Ovis aries: one gene and its partners. The protein of the gene in region 3 purifies or fractionates together with the protein of the main gene of each other region. This does not show direct contact. Links are inferred from orthologs where the notes say so. Each region holds a gene or a part of one and is shown on either strand. Other genes may lie near its edges.

Region 1 (3,644 bases), on a different chromosome or scaffold from region 3:
CGAAAAAAACAAAAAACAAAAACAAAAACAAAAAACCAATTGTAAAGAGAATATTGGTTAGGCCTTGCAAAGGGTTAACTAGTTCTGGAAAGAAAAGAGTAATTTTTAAGCAGAAGCCTGCTCAAGTGCACCTTTCTGAGGAAGCCATATAGCTGTGACAACTTTGATTTTTACTTTTCTTGTCTGTATTCAAGTGGATGGCCTTAAAATTTGCCATTTTGCATCTTTAAAATTAACTCCCAACCCCTCTAAAACCCCGTTCTGTGTGTTTTCTGCCTCTGGTTTTCTGAGACACTGCAGGGCTGTGTCACGCTCTGATGCTTGGGTCAGTGGTCTGGGAGGGGGTTGAAGATTTAAGTTGATTTATTCTCTCGTGCTCCAAGCAGACTCCCTACACAAATGCTTCACCCGAGCTGTGTCTGGGTGATTGTTTTCAAAGTTGCCGTCTCTAGAGGGGATTTTGGGTGGGGAGGCCTGCTGCGTGATTTCCGTGGTGGGCTCCAGGGTTGTATTTCAGGCCTCCCAGGGACCCACCACGTCCTCCTCTGCTGCCAGTCTTAGCGGCCTCTCCCCTGACCATTGCCCTGGGCCTGTGCTGCAGGTGGTACTACGATGGGCTGAGCCGCGGAGAAGCGGAGGACATGCTGATGAGGGTCCCCCGGGACGGGGCCTTCCTGATCCGGAAGCGGGAAGGTACTGACTCCTACGCCATCACCTTCAGGTAAGTATCTGAGCTGCAGCCACTTCTCACTCTGCGGAGGCGCCTGGGCAGGGCAGGTGGGAGAAGAAAGCAGGAACTGCAGGTGGGTGCTGAGCCCAGTGTCCTCTGTCCAGAGTGTCAGCTGTGATGGGGACAGTAATAGTAACAATGATAGCAAAAGCAGATGCTGACGTGTGCTTTCAGCATGCCAGGCACTGCTCTGTACTCCCGAGAGTAATGTGGTTTACATGAATTCATTTAATCCTCCCAAAACTCTGGGGTGAGCGTGACCCATACCCCTGCTTTTTGGAGGAGGAAACTGAGGCCAGGGTGATGGAACGACCTGCTGAAAACATGTAGCCCATTAGTGGTGGAGGTGGAGTTTGCACCCCAGCAGTGCTGGCAACCCAGATGGGTGATGCAGTTCCGGTCTCCTCCCATCCGCCGTTGCCACTGACTGCCAGTGGGCAGGCCATGTGGACCAGCCATCTCAGGGCTGTGGCTCTCTGTGTTAATTCTACCCCAAGACACCTGAGTCCTCCAGTTTCCACCGAAAGCAGTATGAGGGAGGGTCAGACCCCATTCATCAAACTGCCCCTCCATGTCCCCATCTGCAGGGCTCCCCTGCGTGTTCTTGGTGATGGTAGTGGAGTACTGGGTGCCAAAGACCGGGTTCCCAGGTGATGTTCCGGACACTGGGCTGCCTTCAGGGCCTCACCTATTTATTTTCATTTATTTATTTTTCAATTAATATTTTTTCAAATACTTTAAAAATATTTATTCATTTATTTAGCTTTGCCAAGTCTTAGTTGCAGTATGTGGGATCTAGTTCCCTGACCAGGAATTGAGCTCAGGGTGTCTGCATTGGGGGTGCAGAGTCTTAGCTGCTGAGCCGCCAGGGAAGTCCCTTCCAATACTCTTTTGACCTCACTGCATGGCATGTGGGATCTTGGTTGCCTGACCAGGGATCAAACCTGTGCGCCTTGCGTTGGAAGTGTGGAGCTTGCCAATGGGTGCCAGGGAAGTCCCGCCACGTCTGTCTGTCTGGTGCCCTAGGACGGGGGACCGGGCTGTCTGTGGTTCCTGGGCTGGTGTGGCTGTCACCCGGCTGTGGGACGTCAGCCCCGTGTACTCTCCCCCCAGGGCCAGGGGCAAGGTGAAGCACTGTCGTATCAACCGAGACGGCCGGCACTTCGTGCTGGGCACCTCCGCCTACTTTGAGAGCCTCGTGGAGCTGGTCAGCTACTACGAGAAACACGCGCTCTACCGGAAGATGAAGCTGCGCTACCCCGTGACCCCCGAGCTCCTGGAGCGCTACAACATGGTGGGTGGCTGACCCGCCCGGGATGCGGCGGACACTGTCTGAGGTTACGATTCACCTGTTGGTTCATTCAGCAAACCTTTATTGAGCACGTACGTGTGTCCCACACGGCTCTGGGTCCAAAACTGCAGAGTGGACTCAGACTCTGCCCCTGTGCTCTTACAGTCCAGTGTGGGTGAGACAGACGACACACGAAATGAAGAACTGTCAGAGCACGTGTCAGCTGATAGGATGATAAGACAGACACTGAGCCAGTGTTACAGACATGCTGAGGCAGGTGGATAAGTGGGTAGATGATGGGGAAGGGGCTGCAGTTCTCAGGGGTGCTCGGGAGGGGCTTGCTGACTAGGAGACGTGGGCAGACACTCCAGAAGTGGAGGAGACAGCTTGCAGCTGTGAGGAGGAAGAAAGAACAGTCAGTGCAAAGGTCCTGAGGTGAGAGCATGCAAGGAGGCAAAGAGGAGAAGCTGGTATGGCTGGACCTAAGTGGTCCAGGGTTGGGGCAGACCTAAATAAGGATGGAGCTGCATGGAGTGGGGCCACACACAGCGGCTTTTATTCTGAGCCATTGGAGGGTTTGTCTTTTTTTGGGGGGCCATGCCATGCAGCATGAAGGATCTTAGTTCCCTGACCAGGGATCAGACCTGCAGCCCCTGTGGTGGAAGTGGTATCTGGACCACCAGGGAAGTCCCCACTGGGGGACTCTGAGCGGTGAAGGGGGCCAGTCTGATTATCGTGTCCCAGCTCCTCTCAGCCAGATTCAGTACGTTGTTGGAAGGAGGCTGACTGCACTATCAGGAGCCGAGTGTAGATGCTGGGAGAGCTTGGCGGAGCACCGTTAGCCCTTGGCACATTCAGGTTCTAGAAAGGTGCCCCGGGCAGGGCGAGTTACAGTGAAGACGAGAACAGGATGGGGCGCTGTGGGGTGGGCACTGTGTTAGACTGGGGCCGGGAGCTGGGAGCGGGTCTCCTGCAGAGGGTGGGAAGGCAGCCGGGGGGCGGAGCGGCTGGGGAGCTGTGGTGGGTTCCAGGTAGGGGGCAGGCGGGCGCAGGACCACAATGTGGGGTGGGGGTGCAGCCCAGTGGGGGGCCGGGGAGGGGCAGGAGGGGTCTCCAGTGTGCGCTGGTGAAGGTCTACCCGCTCTGCGGAGAGAAGCCCCGCTCTGTGGCGTTTGCCAGTTTCTGTGCCTTGAGCACTCCCGCGGTGGCGTTTCAAGCTGCCGACATTGAGCGTGGGTCAGGAGAGTGGTGAGCTCGCCCCAGGACACCAGTGCCTTGCAGGGCTCGTGTTTGGACAAAGGAGGATGGTGCCTGGCATGCGGTAGGCCCGTGTTGGGGCCTCTCTGATCCTGGGGTAAGATTTCCAAGTTTTGGGGAATTTCTTAATAGCTTCTTACTGGCTCTGCCTACAAGGTGAATAAACTGAGGTTTCAGCTCTTCTACTAGAAGGCAGGAGACCATGAGGATGCGTAGAATCCTTGTTCCAAGTTAGGGCTGTCCCGGGAGCTTGAATGACTCTATTTATTTTTCTCTCTTCTTTTACAGGAAAGAGATATAAACTCCCTCTATGATGTCAGCAGGATGTATGTGGATCCCAGTGAAATCAATCCTTCAATGGTACAG
Region 2 (4,157 bases), on a different chromosome or scaffold from region 3:
ACTAAATGGCATAATATATATTAAGCAGTTAGTAAATGGTACCCATTCAATGTTTCTTTCTAGATACAAATGAAGTTGACATATGCCCTTCTCCTTCATGGGCAGAGGAGAAGAAGAAGAAGAAGAAACATTTTTCTCCATATGTTACAATGATAAACTTTACAGTGGTGTTCTGAGAACACTGCAAAATCTGAAAGTGCTTTTCAACTGTCAGAAAAAGATTACATTTTCACTGCGCTGAATAACAAGGAACAACTTTTGCCGGGACAGTCTTCCTCTCAAGAGAGCTGGGCATCCGTGAACAAGTCCGTTATCTCTCTGGTTTCAGCCCCTCGTACCTGGGAGAGGTCGCTAAGCTCACCGTTAGCGGTTTGCGGAACACTTCCTTGTTTCCGGCTCTGACTTCTCCCATCCGACGTGAGCCTCTCAGAGCGTACTCAGTCTGATTCTGTGTCCGGGACTTAGCACAGAGAATTTGCTGGCTCAGTGATTGCCTCTCGGACTCAAATGTTGATCACTCTCGTGTAATGATGTTGAGTTACAGTGTTAGTCGCTCAGTCGTGTCTGACTCTTCGCGACCCTATGGACTGGAACCCGCCAGACTCATCTGTCCATGGGGTTTTCCAAGCAAGAATATTGGAGTAGGTTGCCATTTCCTTCTCCAGGGGATCTTCCCGATCCAGGGATCGAACCCGGGTCTCCTATATAGCAGGCATATTCTTTAACGTCTGAGCCGCAGGAAAGTCCTTGAATTACAGAATTCGTTTCTTTGTAAATTAGTGATCAACGCCAGGGTTACGGAGAGAACGAACGGAATTTGTCGCCTTTAAAAGCTATTACTACACGGTTCGTGTTGCTAGCCCCACATTTTAACGTATTCTCGTTTCCTACTTAACACTGTGTATTTGTAGGAAGTTCTTTGTTTTTTTTACGTTCATTGATTTAAACATTTTCTTCCTCTCCTTTTCTCCGGCTTCTTCACTTTTCTTTGTGATTGGCTGCAAATCATCTTAACGTGATTGGCTAGGGCATCTGCCCGTTATCTTTTCTTTGCTCCGACGGGAGAAATAAGAAAAAAAAAAGTCTTAAACTCAGCTATTTTATTGGCTCCGGTAAGGACGTACGGCGAGGGGATTGGGCAGCTCAAATTTGTGATTGGTTCTTATACCCATCAGTCACACTGCCGGAAACCAAGTCTATTGCGGCTGGTAGGGTTTTCATTGGTCCGGAACTGCCCCGCTCGCTCGCCCGCTCCCCGAGCCCGCCCCCCCACCCGGTTGCCGTGGTTGCAGGCCCGGCCCGCCAGCTCGTCCGCTGACAGCGAGCCTTTAGGGCGGAGGGAAGCGGGTCCGTTGGTCCGCCAGGCACGAGGCTCCGCCGGCGGCCAGGCCCGCGCGGAGCCGTTGCCATGGCAGCCGCCGCCGGAGGCGCGGACGACGAGTCGCGCTCGGGCCGCTCGAGCTCCGACGGCGAGTGCGCGGTGGCGCCCGAGCCGCTGACGGGTCCCGAGGGCCTCTTCTCCTTCGCCGACTTTGGGTCTGCGCTGGGCGGCGGCGCGGGCCTCCCGGGCCGGGCGTCCGGCGGGGCCCAGTCCCCGCTGCGCTACCTGCACGTCCTGTGGCAGCAGGACACGGAGCCCCGCGATGAGCTGCGCTGTAAAATCCCCGCGAGCAGGCTGAGGCGCGCCGCCAGGCCCCACCGCCGGCTCGGGCCCACTGGCAAGGAGGTGCACGGTGAGGAGCGCGGCGGGAGGCGGGGCTGGCCCTCGGCTGATCTCCCCAGCCGGCTCAGGATGGAGTCCTCCGACATCTGCGCTACGGACCTGGAGTGACCCCTGAGTCTCCTTCCAGTAGGAATAGTAGTCGTATGACTGCTAAGAATCATGAGTGTAAAAAAAAGAAAAAAATAGTCTTCCTGCTCAGAAACAGTCCCGGAGGCTTTTCACATTGGGTAGTTGCTGAGTAGAAACGGATTCCTCGCCCCAGGTGTAGATAATACATGGGGTAGTGGAGAATATTTTCGTATCAGAGCCAAGTCGTACCAGCTTCTTTAAATGGACAGACCTGGGTTGGACTTTTCTAGCTCATGGTGGCCTTAGGCAAACTACAGATCCTTTCAGTTGCAGTTTTCTTATCTGTAAAATGGGAATGGTATGCTTTACAGGAATGTTGACAAGAGTTAGGTAAAGTAGGGAATGTATAGTCAATATTTGGCCTTCAACGTGTGCCAGACACTGTTGGGTGACAATGTGGTCATTTTCTTTTCTTTTTAAGATTTATTTATTTATTTTTGGCTCTGCTGGGCCGTCTTTGCTGAGCGCAGGCTTTCTCTAGTTACGGTGAGTGGGGGCTGTTCCTTGCTGCCGGTTCCCAGGCTTCTCATCGCCGTGGCTTCCCTTGTTGCAGAGCACGGGCTCTAGGTACACAGGCTTCAGTAACTGCAGCTTCTGGGCTCTAGAACTTAGGTTCAATAGTTGTGGCGCATGAGCTTAGTTGCTCAGAGGCATGTGGGATCTTCCTGGACCAGGGATCAAACCCGTGTCCCCTGTATTGGCAGGCAGATTCTTAACCATTAGACCACCAGGGAAGCCCTGTGACGGTTTTTGATCCTCATAATAACTCATCAAGATCCAGATACCCGTTCCCACTTTACTGAAGATGAAACTGAGGCTTGGAGAAATTGTCTTGCTCTAAGTCACATCAGTAGAAATTGGTTGTGCTGGTATTAGAACTCCTGCTCTGATACTTCTTCCATATTGTCTTTTACATTTTATGGATGCCGTGGAAACCAACACCCTGAAAGACTTAAGAATGGAGACTTTTAGATTCCCTCTAGGACCTACTCATCTTAGTGGTGTTATGAGGATTGAGAATTTGAAAGTGCTATATGAATGTAAGGAATCATTATATATCTGAGTTGTAATTTTTGTCCATTTCTCTGATGATAAAAGTATTGCTTTCTATTACCCTCTAATATAGAGGTAGTGTCATTGTGGAGAAAAAAGTTTCTGTGTGGGAATTATCAGATTTAAATATGCCATTTAGGAGAGGCCTGTTTTGAAGGAGAATATAAGATTATATGTGTAATCAGCTCACAAAGAGCTTTGTAAATCATCTCATTTGATTTTTGCAACAACTCAGGACTGTCAGGACAGAGCTCAACCTTGTTTGTTCTTGATAGATCTGAAGCCCAGGGGCTTAACTAACTTGTTCAAGGTCACCAAGTGGCAGAGCCAAGATCTGGCTGCAAAGGCCTTGGAGGATTTGCTACAAAATGTGACTTTTGCATGAGCTGTGCCACATTTCAGGTTTCTCCTGGTTGTATCCTGGCACCTCTCTTTCCTTTTAGATGCTTTTTTTTTTTTTTTTTTTCCATTTGGCAGTGCTGTGCGACACGCGGGATCTTAGTTCCCCAACCAGGGATCAAACTCGTGACCCCAGCAGTGGAAGTGCATGGGTCCTTAACCACTAGACTGCCAAGAAGTTCCCAGGAAGCCATTACTTTCTGCTTCATCATGGCCGTTGCTGGGGTTTTTTTTTTGTTTGTTTTTTTAACTGGCACTCTTATTGTCTTCACAGCTCTGAAAAGGCTGAGGGACTCAGCCAATGCCAACGATGTGGAAACAGGTGAGTGTGCAGAGTGAGTCCGCTCCATGGTCTGGTTAGGGAAGGAAAAGTCCATGTAACCAGTACCTGGGAAGACAGCGCCTGAATTCTGCCAGCTCAGCCCTGGGACCACTGTATCTATTGTATAACTGCTGTCACCTTACAGATGACAAGTCTCGTTCAGATGCTTACTCTTCCCATGCTTGCCTGCCACTCCTTCCTGATGTCAGAGTGTTTATTACCCTGTGAGCCCCCTCACGGCGGGAGCTTTTGTATCCCTGGCACCCAGCTGCAGAGTAGGAGTTTTTGGGAACTTCTGGCTAAAAGGAATGAGTCGTCAACTTGAACCGCAGGAGAGCCACCATCTGCATAGAACCCTTCAGCTGCTCCCCTGAGGCTTGGTGGTAGTGGGGTTCGTGGTTCTCAAACTTCAGTTGACAGAACATCTGAAAGGCAGGGGTGGGGCTCCTAGCAGGACACGGCTCTGTTTTTTTGTTGTTGTTGTTGCTCTTCATCCTTTACTAGCTGACAGGGCAGTAGCAGCATCAAAGG
Region 3 (4,115 bases):
CCACCCTCCCGAACCTTGTAGTGGAGTGCATACAGATTTTGTTTTGTATTTAATGTATAAATTTGACCATGAGGCTGTGCTGTGAGGAATAGTCATATCCAATTTCAGTTTTAAAGTCGCCTTTAGATCTAAGTTCCCAGTTTGCTTTGGGTGGCACTCTGCACATCCTAGTATAACTGAATAGACAGAAAAGAGTTTAGCCTTTAGAAGGGTGGTTCCGTCTGTCTCACTGGTTGTGCTCAAGCCCCCTTCTGTCGAGGTGTCTCTCCTGAAGCCTTAAGCTGGCTGGCGGCACCCTCTGTGCCTCTGGCTCTGACATCTCTCCTGTTTTCCACACTCACACGTCTCACTGGGACGTCTACAGATGTGATCGTGTGGGTGTTCCTACAAGCATCTATTCTCCGTACCTGTGTCTCCTCTTTGATTTCCAGTCTCCGTGAAGGCCACCACCATTGTCCCAGGCCCCAAACCACATAAGGTTGGAGCCACCCTTTATGCTTCCTGGCTCTTCCTCATGTTTGCCTTTGAAGCCCCAGGTCCCCTCACTTCACCTTGCACAGTGACACTTGTCTTCAGCCATGCCTCCCCCTCCAGCCCAACTCTTGGACTTCCCTACTTGTTCCCTGAAGGGTTTGACTTGAACTAGTTCCCTGAAGGGGCCGTGTTCCCGGGGCCCATACTTTGCATGTGAAGTTGTCTCTTCCTGGAATCCCTTTACTGACTCTGCCACGTAGCTGACATCACTCCCATTCTGACTCGAAGCGTTTCCATCAGGACACTTCCCCTGCCCACATCCTTTTCCTCTTGCCTGAGGTCAGTGTCCTTTCCTGTGTCCTGTGCATCCTCTGTCGTTGACCTGCCACGTCACATTGTTGTTTTAATTCACACATCTTCACCACAAGAACAGGAGCGTCTGTAGGGCAGGAATTCATGCTGACGTAAAATCGATGCTCAATAAATGGTTGTTGAATGAATGAGTGAACAGATTATGAACAAGCACCTGGCTTGTGAACGGTCTTCACCTCTTTGACTTGGTTAAATCATCAGCGATGAAGACTAGAAGTGTGCTTGCTGTTGTTGAGTCGCTGTTACCTTCTCTCTATTAATGGAGAAGCTTCGGTGGCTGGAAGCCAGTTCTGGAATGGTAAAACGATGCCGTTGCTTTTGTATTCCAACAGGAACTATGGGATGTATAAAGTCAAAAAGGAAAGACAATCTGAATGACGATGGAGTAGATTTGAAGACGCAACCAGTACGTAATACTGACCGAACTATTTATGTGAGAGATCCAACGTCCAATAAACACCAAAGGCCAGTAAGTAGATAGTCTCAGGGGAGCGTTCCCACGGCAGGATCAAAACATGGCTGCGTAATTTAAACTCCAAATCTGTACCATGTGCATGCCAAAAAAAAAAAAAAAATCATGTTAATTACTTGGGCCTCAAATAATTTTTGATATACTTTGTAACTTAATCCTTTAAAGAGTTTATAAATATATTCGAGACAACCAGGTCACTTAATGTACAATAAAGGGGCCTTTGGTCACCTTCTTATGTGTGGCGATTATCACCTTTCCTGTCACTGGTACAAATACCCTCTCTTTATATGTAAAGACACGTATACGAGCTTGTGTGACTTAGGATGGGCAATAAGATTAGTGGTCTGGAAGCAGAAGGAAATGCTGAATTCTAGTCGGAAGCCAAAATAGGTGCTAATATGCCCTTTGGTAGATGTTGGTGTCGTTTAGTCACCCAGTCACGTCCAGCTCTTCTAGACCCCATGGACCATAGCCCACCAGGCTCCTCTGTCCATGAGATTTCCCAGGCAAAAATACCGGAGTGGGTTGCCATTTCCTTCTTCAGAGGATCTTCCTGACCCAGGGATCAAACCTGTGTCTCCCACGTTGGCAGGCATATTTTTTACCGCTAAGCCACCAGGGTAGCCATCATACTTTATCCCATCATGTTGTTCTTCAATTAATTCAAACTAGTATGAACACTGAAGTTGTCATGACTTATTATAGAGAATTAAAAGATTTAAGCCTTCTAACGTAGGACAAATATCTGTACCAGCATTTTTACATGATGGATGTGCTCTCTGATGTGTTTGAGAAATGCTTGGCAAAGAACTAATACCACATTTCATGGAAGAAAGGAACAGAGCTTTGGATAATTACAACCTTAAATGCACTTTACTTCAGATCTTAGGTCCTTTCTGTTTGCTCACTGTATATATGTACATCCCCCATTGCCTGGTTTTTATGGAAACCAGTGTTTCAGCGTTTAAGCTGAAAGCAGCTTATTCCACATGAGTCCAAATGCCTTCATTAAGAGTTTTCATTGTTTCTCTAATCTGACATGTTTTTAAATGCCTTGGCATTCTCGAAGTATACCATTGTTGTCACTCCCTGTACCAGCCCCCTCCCCCACGTTCGCCCTTATCCTGCAGGTATGGTGTGTGTCAAGGTCACATGTCATTGTTGAGATTGGTAAGTCGGTGTTGGCATTCTTGCAAAAAAGTAGAGATGAAAAGTGAGGACATTATGCTGTTAATTCCCTACATATTTCTAGACAGATAAATTAACATTAATTTAGGAACTTCCCTGGCAGTCCAGTTTTTAAGACTCTGTGCTTCCAATGCAGGGGGCAAGGGTTTGATCCCTGGCTGGGGAACTAAGATCCCATAGGCTGTGGTGCACAACCAAAAAAGAAATTTAAGAAAAACATTGTGGACTTCCCTGGTGGTCACTGGTTAAGAGTCCTCCTGCCAATGCAGGGAACATGGATTTGATACCCTGTCCAGAAGGACCCCCATGCCAAAGGGCAGTTAAGCCTGTGGGCCTAGAACCCGTGCTCAAGAGAAGCCGCTGCACTGAGAAGCCTGTATACTGCAGCTAGAGAGTAACCCCGTAACTAGAGAAAGCCCATGCACAGCAATGAAGACCCAGCACAGCCAAAAATAAAGAAAAAGATTTTTTAAATGTTGTAATTTTATAACAGAAACTCAAAATGTACAAGATTATTAATAAGTTTTATAATTTAGTTATAAATACCTATAAACATAATATTCAAAAAGACATCACATAAATAGGTATAGATGTGGAGCTATGCTATGGAAATATGACTAACAGAAAATGAAATGATACAAGGACTTGGAGTCACAGATAATTTTCTCGTTATAGACTTCAAAGGTGTCATAAAAAGGACCTGACTTTTTCTAGTGTCATGTGCTGTAGATTTTACATGGTTTACAATCCCCCATTTTTTGTTAATGTAATGAAAGAAGATGTCCTTCATTCAGAAAAGCAAAGGAGACCAGTACAAACTTACACACCATTTTTCCTCTTGCCAAGAGTAAAGGAGGTTAAAAGATAAGTTCGAAAGCAGAAGTAGGAAGCATGTTTGAAATCTCTCAGTTCCCTCATGCACCCCCGGAGCGCAGCACACTCCACCTTCTCTGGTCACAGGTGCCCTGGTTTGTAACTGGGCAGTTGGGCCTTATTCCATGGATAACATTCAGTTCCAGCCAGATGTGCCCGAAACACACCCCTGGATTGATTACAGGCTGTATTGTGTGACAGCAAGGCTGAACTGACACAAATTCAATAACACTCTAAGGAAAAGACATTTTAGAGAAGGAAAGTGGTGACAGATGAGGTCTATACATGTGTTTTGGCCTTCTGAAGAATGTGTTCAATCATTTGTCAATTAAGGACTCTTTGACATTTGAAAATCAGCTTGCTGCTCTCAAAATGATTTAATCAGTCTCTCATCTTCTAATTGTTTCCTCTAACTCCTTTAAAATTGATCATACATTCTAATTATGCAAATCTGAATGAGTTTAAAAATCAGTATAGAACTCCTTGAAATAAGTATTGAAAGATCATCCGGAGCCAAGAGTTTCTGAACCAGAAAAACGTAATCCCCTGCTCCCCGCCCCTGGAGATTTGATGGGCTGACTTCCATCAGAAATTTAAATTTCAGTACAAGCTGTTTTGGTTCATATTCCATTCAATCACGTTAATCAAAAAGAAACACGATAAAACCCGGGAAGTCTCGCACATCCTCCCCATGTCAACGAATGAAAAAGGAATTTGATTTCCAAGGTGATTGGGG

The links.
Region 1: the proteins of LYN (region 3) and PLCG2 purify together in Homo sapiens (affinity purification with western blotting; 3 studies listed by BioGRID, with this or other methods). This does not show direct contact. The link is inferred for Ovis aries from reciprocal best matches to the Homo sapiens genes LYN and PLCG2.
Region 2: the proteins of LYN (region 3) and ANKRD54 purify together in Homo sapiens (affinity purification with mass spectrometry; 3 studies listed by BioGRID and IntAct, with this or other methods). This does not show direct contact. The link is inferred for Ovis aries from reciprocal best matches to the Homo sapiens genes LYN and ANKRD54.

The regions. Positions count from the first base shown.
Region 1 is NC_056067.1:7,912,695-7,916,338, forward strand, and holds part of PLCG2 (1-phosphatidylinositol 4,5-bisphosphate phosphodiesterase gamma-2), read left to right. Parts: intron 1-601; coding exon 602-721; intron 722-1,843; coding exon 1,844-2,024; intron 2,025-3,566; coding exon 3,567-3,638; intron 3,639-3,644. UniProt on the Homo sapiens protein: The production of the second messenger molecules diacylglycerol (DAG) and inositol 1,4,5-trisphosphate (IP3) is mediated by activated phosphatidylinositol-specific phospholipase C enzymes. It is a crucial enzyme in transmembrane signaling.
Region 2 is NC_056056.1:215,480,246-215,484,402, reverse strand, and holds the start of ANKRD54 (ankyrin repeat domain-containing protein 54), read left to right. Parts: upstream 1-1,309; 5' UTR 1,310-1,408; coding exon 1,409-1,733; intron 1,734-3,578; coding exon 3,579-3,626; intron 3,627-4,157. UniProt on the Homo sapiens protein: Plays an important role in regulating intracellular signaling events associated with erythroid terminal differentiation.
Region 3 is NC_056062.1:36,186,104-36,190,218, forward strand, and holds the start of LYN (tyrosine-protein kinase Lyn), read left to right. Parts: upstream 1-1,183; coding exon 1,184-1,252; coding exon of another isoform or gene 1,253-1,315; intron 1,316-4,115. UniProt on the Homo sapiens protein: Non-receptor tyrosine-protein kinase that transmits signals from cell surface receptors and plays an important role in the regulation of innate and adaptive immune responses, hematopoiesis, responses to growth factors and cytokines, integrin signaling, but also responses to DNA damage and genotoxic agents.